Macaca fascicularis: one gene and its partners. The protein of the gene in region 2 interacts with the protein of the main gene of each other region in a biochemical or structural test. Links are inferred from orthologs where the notes say so. Each region holds a gene or a part of one and is shown on either strand. Other genes may lie near its edges. The genes, in order: IFNAR1, STAT2 and CREBBP.

Region 1 (3,553 bases), on a different chromosome or scaffold from region 2:
TCCCTATTTCCAAAACAAACAAACAAACAAACAAAGCCTGGGCAACATGGTAAAACCCCATCTCTAGCAAAAATACAAAAAAATTAGCTGGGCATGTTGGCATGTGCCTGTAGTCCCAGCTACTTGGGAAGCTGAGGTGGGAGGATCGCTTAAGCCCAGGAAGTCGAGGCTGCAGTGAGCTGACATCACATGAGTGCACTCCAGCCTGGGTGACAGAATGAGACCCTGTCTCAAAAAAAAAAAAAAAAAAGATATAACAAAACTGCCTTAACATTCAGTGGCTCACAACATGATTATGTAGTTTCTCACTCACAAGTCTACAGACTGGCTGGGGAGCTCCCATGGAGGCTGTGCATTGCATCGGGTTTAGGTCAGCTCCAACAGCCTTTAATCCTCCTTGGACCAGAGACTATGTGGAATACGCTTTCTCCCTGGCAAACAGGAGCAGCGCAAGAGCCAAGCCAAACTCTGCAAGCACACTTAAGGCCTCTGCTCTCAGCACATCTACTCGGGCTCCAGCATCTACAGTCTGGTGATGCCGGGATGAAGGCACCATCCCAAGTATTTGCCAAACAGCAATTTAACCAATCACATCATTTGGCAGCGTTGTTTTGAAGAATGATTCAGACAATTCATGTGCAATACTTAGCATAGTACCTTACATATAAGTATTCAATAAGAGTTTCTATAATAATAATTACTGATATATGATCCAGTATAGGATAAGATGGCAACTACAATCTATTGAATCTCTACTACTTGTCCAGCCATGTGCTAGGTATTTGCTATCTGTTACTTCCTTTTAAACTTATAAACATCCTTTTGAAAAATTTAGTTGTTATGATTACCACCACTTCAGAGAAGAGGAAGCAAAGTCTCCAAGAGATAAAGCACCTTGAGTAACGTTACACAATTTAGTAGTGTGAGATAGAAATTTAGGTTTGTCTGATCTACAGACATCTGAAAACTGACCATAATTCTCAATGGGCTACATTATGCTATGGTTACAGTGTTGTTAGACAGTGAAAAAGGGAAGCAGCCAAATCAATGGAATTTGCTTAGATTTCCAATAGAAAATGAAGCAAAGTGAAAGAATTCACCAGCCTGCCTGGACAGGAGTTTTAAAGGTAGATCCTTGACTAACACTCCACAAGGAAGAAGTGATCTGGGAAACATGTATATTATCTGATGGTGTATATTATCTTTGTCAGTGGTACCTGAATTTTAGGGTTTAGACCAGTGTTTGTCAACCCTTTTTTCATTACTTTTTGGGCAATTTTTTTCTAATCCTTCCCCCATCAAAAAATTAAAGACTAAGGAATAACATTTTGTTGGGCAAAGCTGAACTTTGGAAGAATGTTTTCCAATGGTTTTGGAGGAATAAAAACAACTGTACTATCGATTCTTTTGTCCCATGAGAATCAATTTTTGTCCCCTTGGAGGAGCCACCAGAGGACATTTGACAATATTTGGAGATATTTTTGGTTGTCACAACTAGGAAGGAACACTACTGGCATCTAGTAGGCAGAAGCCAGAATGCTGCCAGGCATCTTGCACTGCACAGGTCAGTCCCCCCTGCCCCACAAGGAACTATCCAGCCCAAACGTCAGTAGTGCTAAGAAACCCGGGTTTAGATGAATACATAGGAATCATGTTAAAAAAAAATGCAAATTCATGAGCTCCATCCCCAGAGATAATGATTCAGTAACAACAGGCTCAGGAATCTGTATTTTAAAAGTAAACTGCGCCCAGATGTAGCTCACCCATAACTCTATAGTACAAAACATGAAAAATGCTCATGTTCTTCATTCTGTAAATATCTGAGTTAATCACTCTTTATTTTTTTTTTTTGAGATGGAGTCTTGCTCAGTTGCCCAGGCTGTAGTGCAGTGGCACGATCTCGGCTCACTGCAAGCTCTGCCTTAGCCTCCCAAGCAGCTGGGACTACAGGCGGCCGCCGCCATGCCCAGCTAATTTTTTGCATTTTTAGTAGAGATGGGGTTTCATGTGTTAGCCAGGATGGTCTCGATCCCCTGACCTCGTGATCCGCCCGCCTCAGCCTCCCGAAGTGCTGGGATTACAGGCGTGAGCTACCGCGCCCGGCCTTTTTTTTTCTTTTTTAAGACAGGCTGTCAGTCACTCTGTCACCCAGGCTGGAGTGCAGTGGCACGATCATGGCTCATTGCAAGCTTGACCTCTGAAGCTCAAGCGATCCTCCCACCCCAAGTAGCTGGGAATATTAGGTGCACGCCATCACACCAGGCTAATTTTTAAAAATTTTTATTTGAGACAGGGTCTCCCTATTTTGCCCAGGCTGGTCTCAAACCCTTGGGCTCAAGTGATCCTCTCGCCTTGGCCTCCTGAAGTGCTGGGATTACAGGCCACTGCACTCAGCCCACATAAAAGTTTAAAAATTTCCCCCAAATTTTAAATTCAAGCTTTATTTACCTAAATCACAGTTATAACTCTAAGCTACAAAATTATACTATAGTCTTTTTACCTCAGCCTTTGAAGTGTTTTCCCAAAAAAGAATTTCATAAATCAGTGGATAATCCTGGATCACAGGCTTGTTTTCAGACCATTTTGGAGCACCGATAGAGATATGTAATGAATCACTAAGGGATCTAATGTTAAAGACTGGAGGAAGCAGGGAAGCTAGAAAAATTTGTAAAGAAATAATGTTCAATTAGAAAAACAATTTTAAGAACTTGTACCAAATCAGAGAATTACAATCTCCAGTAAAAACTACTGCCTTACCTTGTATTTCAGTATCAAACTTTATCTCTTCAGACCAAAAAGACGTGTTATTTCCATCAGATGCTTGTACGCGGAGAAGGTAAATTCCTTTTTGGAAAGTGTTTGGAGGAAAGACACACTGGGTAGTTGTGACATTTTCGCAGTCAGGTATTTGTTTCCATTTATACAAATGGTTTCCAGGTTTCCTTTTTAAAAAGGCACTTTTAAGACAAACAATTTTTAAACTCAACCACACATTAATTCAATAGATATTTATTAAGTATGTACAATATGCCAGACACTGTGTTGGGGGCTCAGGTTACAGAAATAAATAGTAGCCACCCTCAGGAAACTCACAAACAATGGCGGAGATATGCATCTAACATAAAAGAAAGCCAAACATTGTTCCACACTGTGATCACGCTGTGCTCTGCTGCAGGTGGCTTATGTCAATGTGCAAGAATATCTGTTAGTTAGAATTTCCAGGAATGCTGCAAGCTGGGGTTTTTTTGTTTTTTTGTTTTTTTTTTGAGAACGAGTCTCGCTCTGTCACCCAGGCTGGAGTGGAGTGGTAGGATCTTGACTCACTGCAACCTCCGCCTCCTGGGTTCAAGCAATTCTCCTGCCTCTGTCCCCCTGAGTAGCTGGGATTACAAGCGCATGCCACCAGGCCTGCCTAATTTTTGTATTTTTAGTAGAGACGGGGTTTCGCCATGTTGGCCAGGCTGGTCTCGAACTCCTGACCTCAGGTGATCCACCTACCTCGGCCTCCCAAAGTGCAAACTGGTTTTTAAACAAAAATCATTATTAAAAATTA
Region 2 (4,258 bases):
CCAAAGTGCTGGGATTACAGGTGTGAGCCACCGCACCCAGCCGGCCCCAACCTGTATTTTAATAGCTTCAGTAAGTGGGCCTTTGTGCTTTAATGGGAATTTTCTTTTCTTTTTTTTTTTTTAAGACAGGGTCTCACTTGGTCACCCAGGCTGGAGTGCAGTGGCATGATCGTGGCTCAGCTTTGATCTCTCAGGTTCAAGCGATTCTCTGCCTCAGCCCCTCAAGGAGCTGGGACTACAGGAGTGTGCTATCACGCCAGCTAATTTTTTGTAGAGATAGGATTTTGCCATGTTGCCCAGGCAGATCTCAAACTCCTGAGCTCAAGTGATCTGCCTGCTTCAGCCTTCCAAAATGCTGGGATTACAGGCATGAGCCACCATAACCAGCCTAATGGTAATTTTCAAACACACACTAAAGCAGAGTGACTAGTACAAGGATCACCATCCAGCTTTAACAAACTACTGTTTCCACTATCTTATTTCATCTATCTCTCTAATTCATTTATTTTGCATTTATGTGTTTGTTGTTTATATTTGTTTATGCTAAACAAATATAAGCATTTAAAGATCAGTGTTGATGTTAAGTATTTATTACAGCATGATCCCTGCTGACCCTGAAGCTTTTTTTTTTTTTTGAGATGGAGTCTTGCTCTGTCACCCAGGCTGGAGTGCAGTGACATGATCTCGGCTCACTGCAAACTCTGCCTCCCGAGTTGAAGGGATTCTCCTGGCTCAGCCTCCTGACTAGCTGGGACTACAGTCGCCCACCACCATGCCCTGCTAATTTTTGTATTTTTAGTAGAGATGGGGTTTCACCATGTCATCCAGGCTGGTCTGGAACTTCTGACCTCAGGTGATCTGCCCACCTTGGCCTCCCAAAGTGCGGGGATTAGAGGTGTGAGCCACCATGCCCGGCCACCTGAAGCTTTTTTAGGAGCTAAATCTTTTTGGAGGTTAGGTAAGTACACCCTATAAACTGCCCTCCATATAGGAAGGAGGAGCTCCATGCTAGAAGACATCTAAATGCTATGCAACGGGTTGCTCAGTCCCTAAGAATATGACACGTTTATGACCTGTGAATCTTGAATATAAGTTATCAACTTTGTGAGATCCTGAAACTTCACTTAAATTTTTTTTGTTTTTTTTGTTTTGGCAGGGCACAGTGGCTCATGCCTGTAATTCCAGCACTTTGGAAGAGGCGGGAGGATCACTTGAGGTCAGGAGTTCAAGACCAGCCTGGCCAATGTGAAATCCTATCTCTACTAAAAATACAAAAAAATTAGCCAGGCATGTTGGTGGGCACCTGTAATCCCAGCTACTCAAAAGGCTGAGGCAGGAGAATGGCCTGTACCCAGGAGGCAGGGGTTACAGTAAGTGGAGATCACATCCAGCCTGGGAGGCAGAGTGCAGTCTCTGAATCAAAACAACAACAATGAATTGGCTTTTGCCTGTCACCAAGCAGGCTGTGCCTTGCATCCTTCTCCCCACTGTTCCCTGCTCGCTGCCATCTGGTGTCTATTTAGGAAACTGAAACTTAAGCTTGTTGCAGCCTGAGCCTAACAAAACAGAATTCATGCACATTAGTGGTCTAAAAAGGTCACATGATTTTATTACAAAGTAAAAAGAAATGCTTGGGGTGGTATAGTCTTCTACTAACATGAATAACATCAGCTGCCCTTCTACCTCCAGCAGGAACAAGGGAAGGGAGGGATTGGGCAGGGGCTATTTTCATTTTAACCCTTTTAGTAGTGCTTGATTTTTAAAACTATGTGTCTGTATTGCTTTTATGATACAAAAAAATATAAGTTAAAAAAATGATTAGGTGGCCAGGCATGGTGGCTCATGCCTGTAATCCCAGCACTTTGTGAGGCCCACAAGACGGGAGGATGGCTTGAGCTCAGTCAGGAGTTTGAAACCGAGCCTGGGCAACATACTGAGATTCCATCTTTAAAATAATAATAATAATAATAATAATAATAATAATGAGGTCCCAATTCTTGAGGATTTAAGTGTCTGATATTAAAGGAGCAAGTCAGCAAAGATTCAAATATGAAAACAAAACAAAAAACCTGGTCTCCCCGAATGGATTGCAAACACTGAGGTTAAGAGCTAAAACAATTTTTTCTCATTATCTCTCACTCTTAAGCACATATTTTGCACTCAAGAAGCTTTTCTGAAATGAACTGAATTTTGTGTGTGACCTTAGGCAATGTTTCATCTTTCAGTAGCTTATACTTTTAAACAAAACAAATAAAGACGATAGATTTATCTATCTTTGTTTTTAGATTTATCTATCTTTGAACATCGTTTTTAGGTGAAGATAAAAAATAATGCAGAGCAGAGTAACGTCAGATACCGAACCAACAATGCCAGATTCCGGGTCTCGGAAGCTGCAGGGCAGTTTTCGGGGAGGGGCATTGGGGTTGGGGAGATAGGCTGGACAGGAGAAGATCGAGAACCGAGCAGGCGACAGACAGCTCCTCTTTCAACCTGGGGACAGAAGCTGCCCCCTCCAGGGCGTAACTCCTGGGGCCAGTCGCCCTTCCCTGGGAGGAACTCTCACTCTCACCCCCACCCCTACCTCAGCACACCCTCTCAGGGCCCGTACCTGATTAGGGTTGCAGTCTCCGCGCCCTCCACTGGCTCTGGTCGCGACTTCCCGTCCGTAGAAGGAGTTCGGGTACTAGAGCCTCAGGCCCCGCCTACAACTTCGGCCTACACCCTCGGACCCGCCCCCTCGTAGTTGGCAGCGGAAGTCCGGAGCGGCCCCATTCCCAGTCGCCACCCCGACACTGGCTGCCACTCAGTCAAGCCCTTCCCAGACTGCGAACTCACTGGCGCCGCCGCAACTACACCCCCCCGCGGGGCGGGACAAGCTGAGCCGAAACCACACCTGCAGCTCCAGCGATTGGTGGAGAAGTTCAAGTAGGCACTTTCTACGAGGGGAGGAGTCTAATTAGTGGACTGGCCCAAGACTGAAACAGCTGATTTTCGAGAACCCGCTCGTGAGCCACGGAACCGAAACTAGCTTGAGGAGCCTGTAGACGCCAAGGGCTCCATGGGAAGGGGTGGGACCGGAATTTCGACGCCTTGGGATAGGAAGAGGAGGGCTGAGGTAATGAAAACAGTATTTTTTTTTTTTTTTTTTTTGAGACGTGGTCTCGCTCTTATCACCCAGGCTGGAGTGCAGTGGCGCGACCTCGGCTCACTGCAGCCTCGACCACCCGGGCTCAGGTTATTCTCCCGCCTCAGCCTCCCAGGTAGCTGGGACTACAAGCGTGCATAACTCCGCCAGGATAATTTTTTGTGTTTATTGTAGAGACGGAGTTTCGCCATGTTGCCCAGGCTGGTCTTGAACTCCTGACCTCAGGTGATCCTCCTGCCTCGGCCTCCCACAGTGCTGGGATTACAGGCATGAGCCACTGCACCTGGCTAATAGCTATTTATTGAGAGTACTGTGATAAGCACTTTAGATTAATTGTGTCATTTAAAATTTACAGGGCAACTCATTGAAGTTAAAATCATTCTCTCCTTTAGAAATTTAAAAACTGATCTTAGTTCAAGAAAGAAGTTACCAGTCAGTGATCACGGAGGCTCTAACAAGTGGAGCCTAGATTCAAAACCAAACCCTCTGACTTCAACCCCCAAACATTTACGTTCCTACGTTTTACTGTACAGCCTTACTCCTGAATAAATCGGAGTTTAAAATTTTGAAGACATGTATACAGCTTGTCAGGATATTAGATTTATTAGTTCTGTGGTTACTACCTTCTTTTATATCCCAAGACTCCCAGCCCCAGGATCTAAGTCATAGCTCTTGATTATGGCCCACCCCCAGTAGGGAGCTGAACTTACTACTTCTGATATGAAAGAAGCCAGGGTAGTTGTTTCTTCCAAGTCACTCACATCTGAGATGGCCCTTAAACCCTCCTTGGTGGTCTCTGGCTGAGAGATGTTTGCGTCTTTCCGATCTTGGTAATACTGGATCAACTGCTGAACCCCAGACCTTAATGCAGGTTTAAGTGCAGCACTGATCGCTAGACCCATAGGTCCCCCTGACATCCCGGCCATGGTCATCAGAAGGTCATATCCCAGATCTATGGCCCCATCTCGGCCTCGTTCCCTGGCCTTGCCCAGGCAGTTTTGAGTAGCATAATACAAAGCTGTGCCCAGGTTGTAGAAGGTTCCCACTCCTGGCAGCAGCTGGATGACATTGTGCATACCTTGCTCCTTCTCATTCTCACAGTCCTCTGTGGGG
Region 3 (4,296 bases), on a different chromosome or scaffold from region 2:
GACAGCGTCTCACTCAGTCACCCAGACTGGAGTGCAGCAGTGCGATCTCGGCTCACTACAACCTCTGCCTCCCAAGTTCAAGCGATTCTCATGCCTCAGCCTCCCAAGTAGCTGGAATTACAGGTGCATGTCACCATGCCTGGCTATTTTTTTGTATTTTTAGTACAGATGGGGTTTTACCATGTTGGCCAGGCTGCTCTCGAACTCCTGACTTCAAGTTGATCCACCAGCCTCCCCCTCCCAAAGTGCTGGGATTACAGGCATGAGCCATGGCATCCAGCCCCTTGTTTAATGTGCTTGACAATGATCCCTTCCTTGGTCCTCCACACTAACAGACCCTTTCACAATAGTGTGATGGTGATGAATGTGTAACTCAGGACCCAACTTAAGTATGATGTCGACTTTCTACTTTGGATTAAATCAGAGTCATTTAAAGCTGACTTTTGGTCCCACAAAAGAGCCCCTGTGCCTTACAAGGATCAAAACTGGAAAGGAAGAGGGAAAAGCTGGTTAAGTGTGGAAAATCCTTTCTGATCAACTTGTTATTAAGCATCTGATCATCCAATAATGGAAACTACTATGGAAAAAGCTATCCTTCGGGCTCCATCTTGGAAACAGCTGGATGTAAACAGTAGGATAAGCCTTTTTGTTAAGTCTTGTGTTACTAATTGTCCCCCTTTTTAAGACAAAATCTACAACAAATTCATTCAACAATAGCAAAGCTACAAAGCCATCCAGGTTACCAGTTTCAGAAGACAAGCTTCAAAGGTGAACTCGCCTCGTATGACCTACGTCTCACAGAACTGAAGACTACTCAAACACAGCAAGATTAATGAAGCAACTGAGATCTGTTTTGCAGTACAACGGCATTTAAACTATTGTTTCCAAATTTCTCACTTCAGTAAGTTCATTTCATAAGATTAATGTCAAACTCAACTTTTATCAGCTAAAAAGAAAAACATTATTAGTGATTTTTACATACCATGAGCATCATTTACTCCTCCCCACTGTTTAAGAAATTTTAACTAGATAAGAATCTCCTTATGATTGATTTTTAAAAATCGTTTTTCACTTCCACATTAATATTAAATGTCTCTTATCATAACTTGATTCCAGGAATTGTATTCAAACTTAAGCCACAAAATTCAAGTTTTGTTTCAACAGCAATAGCAGTTTTTTGAATATGCTAGTGGTCGGTCACAGAACTATTTCCACAAGTTGAACAGCTGTGTCTAGCGCAAATCTGAAGGCAGCAATGTAATTCAATTTGGACTCATTCATTAGAAACTGATTTTCAGATGCTGCCACTGCAAGACTACTGGAGAAATGCAAGCTGCGCTGGAGACGGAATTGTTCGCAGCGGCACAGAAGTTTCTGCTGCAAAGGAGAGAGCTCTAAAAGAGGAAATACAACTAGTTCATGTTACCATGAACCAGCGCAGTAGGACCCAGAATTACTGAATGAATAGGAAACTAAATACTTCTCTTAAGCAGCAATGATTACTTAAGAAAGTTTCCAGGGAAGCTGTTAAATGAGAGGAAACAAACAAAAGATGATTTATTCAGTATCCTGCTACATTTTTTTGAAAAATTGGAATTCCTACATGCCTTAACATAATTTTTTGTACATCTACACTGTGAAAGCAACACAAACTCAAATGGAGATGGCAGCCCAAATGAACTTAAATCTGCTGTTTAACTTTCTTTTGAAGTTACACATGGAAATGAAACACACCACAGCAACTTTAATGACATCTTGCTAACGAAGTTTGGATTTTGAAAAATGGAATGACTAGTTCACTAAAAACAACAACAACAACAACAAAAAAAAAAACAAAGAGTTTTGAAAATAAGCACTAAGCATCTTTCCAAGGAACTCACTCATTCCAAGAAACTTCGGTTCTAACTCGCAAGCTGGCGGCTGCTGTGAGTATCCTCTGACTGCAGCCTGATCAAGGTGTCGCCAATCCAGAAAATACACTGCGCTACCTTTGGCCACGATCTTGCTTTCTCTAAGCATCAAAGGTACCCTCCGCTGTCATTCCTCTGGACGGCCACGCGTGTGGACACGGCCGCGGATGGATGCGTAGGACATTACCAAACAAACCCACACACTGCACTTTACTTCTTCCCTCCTGGAGTGCCACTCGGGTCCCCGCGAGGAGGGCTGATCGGGTGCGGGGAGGCCGAGCGCACCGGGCGTGTGCTGCCCAACTCGGGCCCAGTGACAGTCCTGCGACGAACTTCCACCCTCCGGCGCGGGGCGAAGGGAACGGGCTGCGGGGCCTGCTCCGGGCTCCCGGCTCGGTAGGTATCCGCGACCACCACCCCCGGACACTCTCTTTCAGGTGGGGGTGACAGCGCGCCCCGGGCCCCCGCCGCCCCGGACCCCTCCTCACCTGTGCTGTCATTCGCCGAGAAGCCGGGCGAGCTGAGTTTGGCTCGTTTGGGGTTGGGCGGTCCGTCCAGCAAGTTCTCGGCCATTTTCACCTGCTCGCGAAAACAGCCCCGGGAGCGGACGGCCGGGCCGGCGAAGGCCCGGACGGGGGTCGGGGGCCCTGCCGGCTGCGAGGGAGAGCAGCGAGCGCGGCCGCGAGCGGGCGGGCGGGCGCCGAAGGAGAGGGAGGGCGCAGGCCGGGTGGGGGAGGCGGCGGCCAAATCTCAGCCACAGCAACAGCGCCCCGCAGCGCTCACCGCCCGCCCCCGGCCGCCGCCGCCGCCGCCGCCGCCGGCCGCGGCCCCCTCATCCCCTGCCCGCCTCCCGAGCGCGACACTCCGCGGCGGGGGCGCCCCGGCGGCCCGGCCGCCCCCCCGGGCCCGGCTGGCAGCGACGGCGCCCGGCCGGGCGGCTCAGGCAGTCCCCGGGAACATGGTGCCGCCGCCGCCGCCGCCTCGCTCCCCCCCCGCGCCCCACTTAATGAATTCGCTCGCGGCCCGACGACGAGGGGGCTCCGGGCTCCGCTCCCCGCCCGCGGCCCGCCGCCGCCGCCGCCGTGAGGAAAAACAATGCGCCGAGCGGGGTCGCCGCCGCCGCCGCGGCCCCCCCACCCCCCGTTCCGCCGCCGCCGCCGCCGCCGCCGCTGCCGCCGCCGCCGCCGCCGGGCTCCGGGAGGCCGAGCCGAGAGGCGAGCGGGGCCGCCGGGGCGGGCGCCGAGGGCCGGGCGGAGCGGGCCGGCCGGGCGGAGCGGGGTGCGCGGGCGGTTGTGGGGCCCGGGACCGGCGGGGCCGAGTAGATCGCGCTCGAAGCCCCGGTCGGGTCCGCGACAAGATGGCGGCTGTTGATTCCTCAATTAAAAAAAAAAGAAAGTTTTTTTTCTTCTCTTTCCAGAGCCTGAACGGGGAGGGGGTGGGGGCGGGGCACGCCGGTGCGTCACCCCCCCCGCGGCGTCACCACGCACGGCCCCCGCCCCGCCCCCTCCACCTGCGCCGGCCGTGGCGGAAAGAGCCGAGCGTGCTCGGGCCGAAGGGCCGAAGGCCCGAAGGCGCGGCCGCGAAGCGCAGGGCGGCGGGCTGCAGGGCGCGGGCCAGGCCTGCGGGGCGCCCGGGCTCCGGGCTGAGCCTCGGCTTTTGTTCTGATGGCGACGAGGCGGCGAGGGCCGGGGCTCCGGGCCCCAGCGGGCTCCGGGAGCAGCGGCCTGGCCACGGGCTGGGCTCTCCGGCGCGGATTCGACGCCAGCCCGGGCCCGCCCGTCCGGCTGGGGCGGCGCTGCGTGTTCCCAGCTCCTCGCGTCCCTGCCCGATACCCTCCTCGGTGGCGTCGGGCGGGGACGATCGGGGCGACCCCAGCCCAAGCCGCACCACTAGCCTTCGCCGCCGGCCAGGGAAGTGGAATGGCCCTGCAGGTTACAAACCGCCTTCAAGTCTGCCGACGAGGTGGGCGGATGGGGAAACTGAGGCAGGAGGGGGGAGAACAACTTCTCCAAAGTCGTCGAGGCAGCAAGTGGCAGGGCCGGGATTCGGGTCCCGCCCCACCTGGTGACACTAGGGAGTAAGGGGGCCTCACGCCTGTCCCAGCCCGAGGCGGTGGGGCCGACACCCTCACCTTGGAGAGTGGGGTGGCGAGCGCCGGCCTGGGTGGAGAAGGGCCCGCGCATCGGGGCTTAAGCCTGGACGCCCAGGCCGCACTCCCCGCCCCAGGCAACTCGCTTGGCGCCTCGCAGGTGCCCCAGACAGGGTTGCGGGCCTGGGGAGTCCCCCACGCGAGACCACAGCCCGCGGGACACTTCCACGAACACCCGAGGTGCTCCCATCCAAGTTAGTTATCTGCCCCTCCAAACTAGCCCGGCTTCCTCATAAA

The links.
Region 1: the proteins of STAT2 (region 2) and IFNAR1 form a complex in vitro, tested with the Homo sapiens proteins (2 studies listed by BioGRID). The link is inferred for Macaca fascicularis from reciprocal best matches to the Homo sapiens genes STAT2 and IFNAR1.
Region 3: the proteins of STAT2 (region 2) and CREBBP form a complex in vitro, tested with the Homo sapiens proteins (2 studies listed by BioGRID). The link is inferred for Macaca fascicularis from reciprocal best matches to the Homo sapiens genes STAT2 and CREBBP.

What each region holds. Positions count from the first base shown.
Region 1 is NC_088377.1:13,572,467-13,576,019, forward strand, and holds part of IFNAR1 (interferon alpha/beta receptor 1), read right to left. Parts: intron 3,520-3,553; coding exon of another isoform or gene 3,495-3,519; exon of another isoform or gene 2,994-3,494; intron 2,958-2,993; coding exon 2,758-2,957; intron 2,656-2,757; coding exon 2,501-2,655; intron 1-2,500. UniProt on the Homo sapiens protein: Together with IFNAR2, forms the heterodimeric receptor for type I interferons (including interferons alpha, beta, epsilon, omega and kappa).
Region 2 is NC_088385.1:63,163,573-63,167,830, forward strand, and holds the start of STAT2 (signal transducer and activator of transcription 2), read right to left. Parts: upstream 2,828-4,258; 5' UTR 2,609-2,827; intron 1-2,608. Other genes in the region: APOF (apolipoprotein F), read right to left, coding at 3,775-4,258. UniProt on the Homo sapiens protein: Signal transducer and activator of transcription that mediates signaling by type I interferons (IFN-alpha and IFN-beta).
Region 3 is NC_088394.1:4,656,654-4,660,949, forward strand, and holds the start of CREBBP (CREB-binding protein), read right to left. Parts: upstream 2,810-4,296; 5' UTR 2,484-2,809; coding exon 2,399-2,483; intron 1-2,398. Other genes in the region: uncharacterized protein, read left to right, coding at 2,869-3,872. UniProt on the Homo sapiens protein: Acetylates histones, giving a specific tag for transcriptional activation. Mediates acetylation of histone H3 at 'Lys-18' and 'Lys-27' (H3K18ac and H3K27ac, respectively).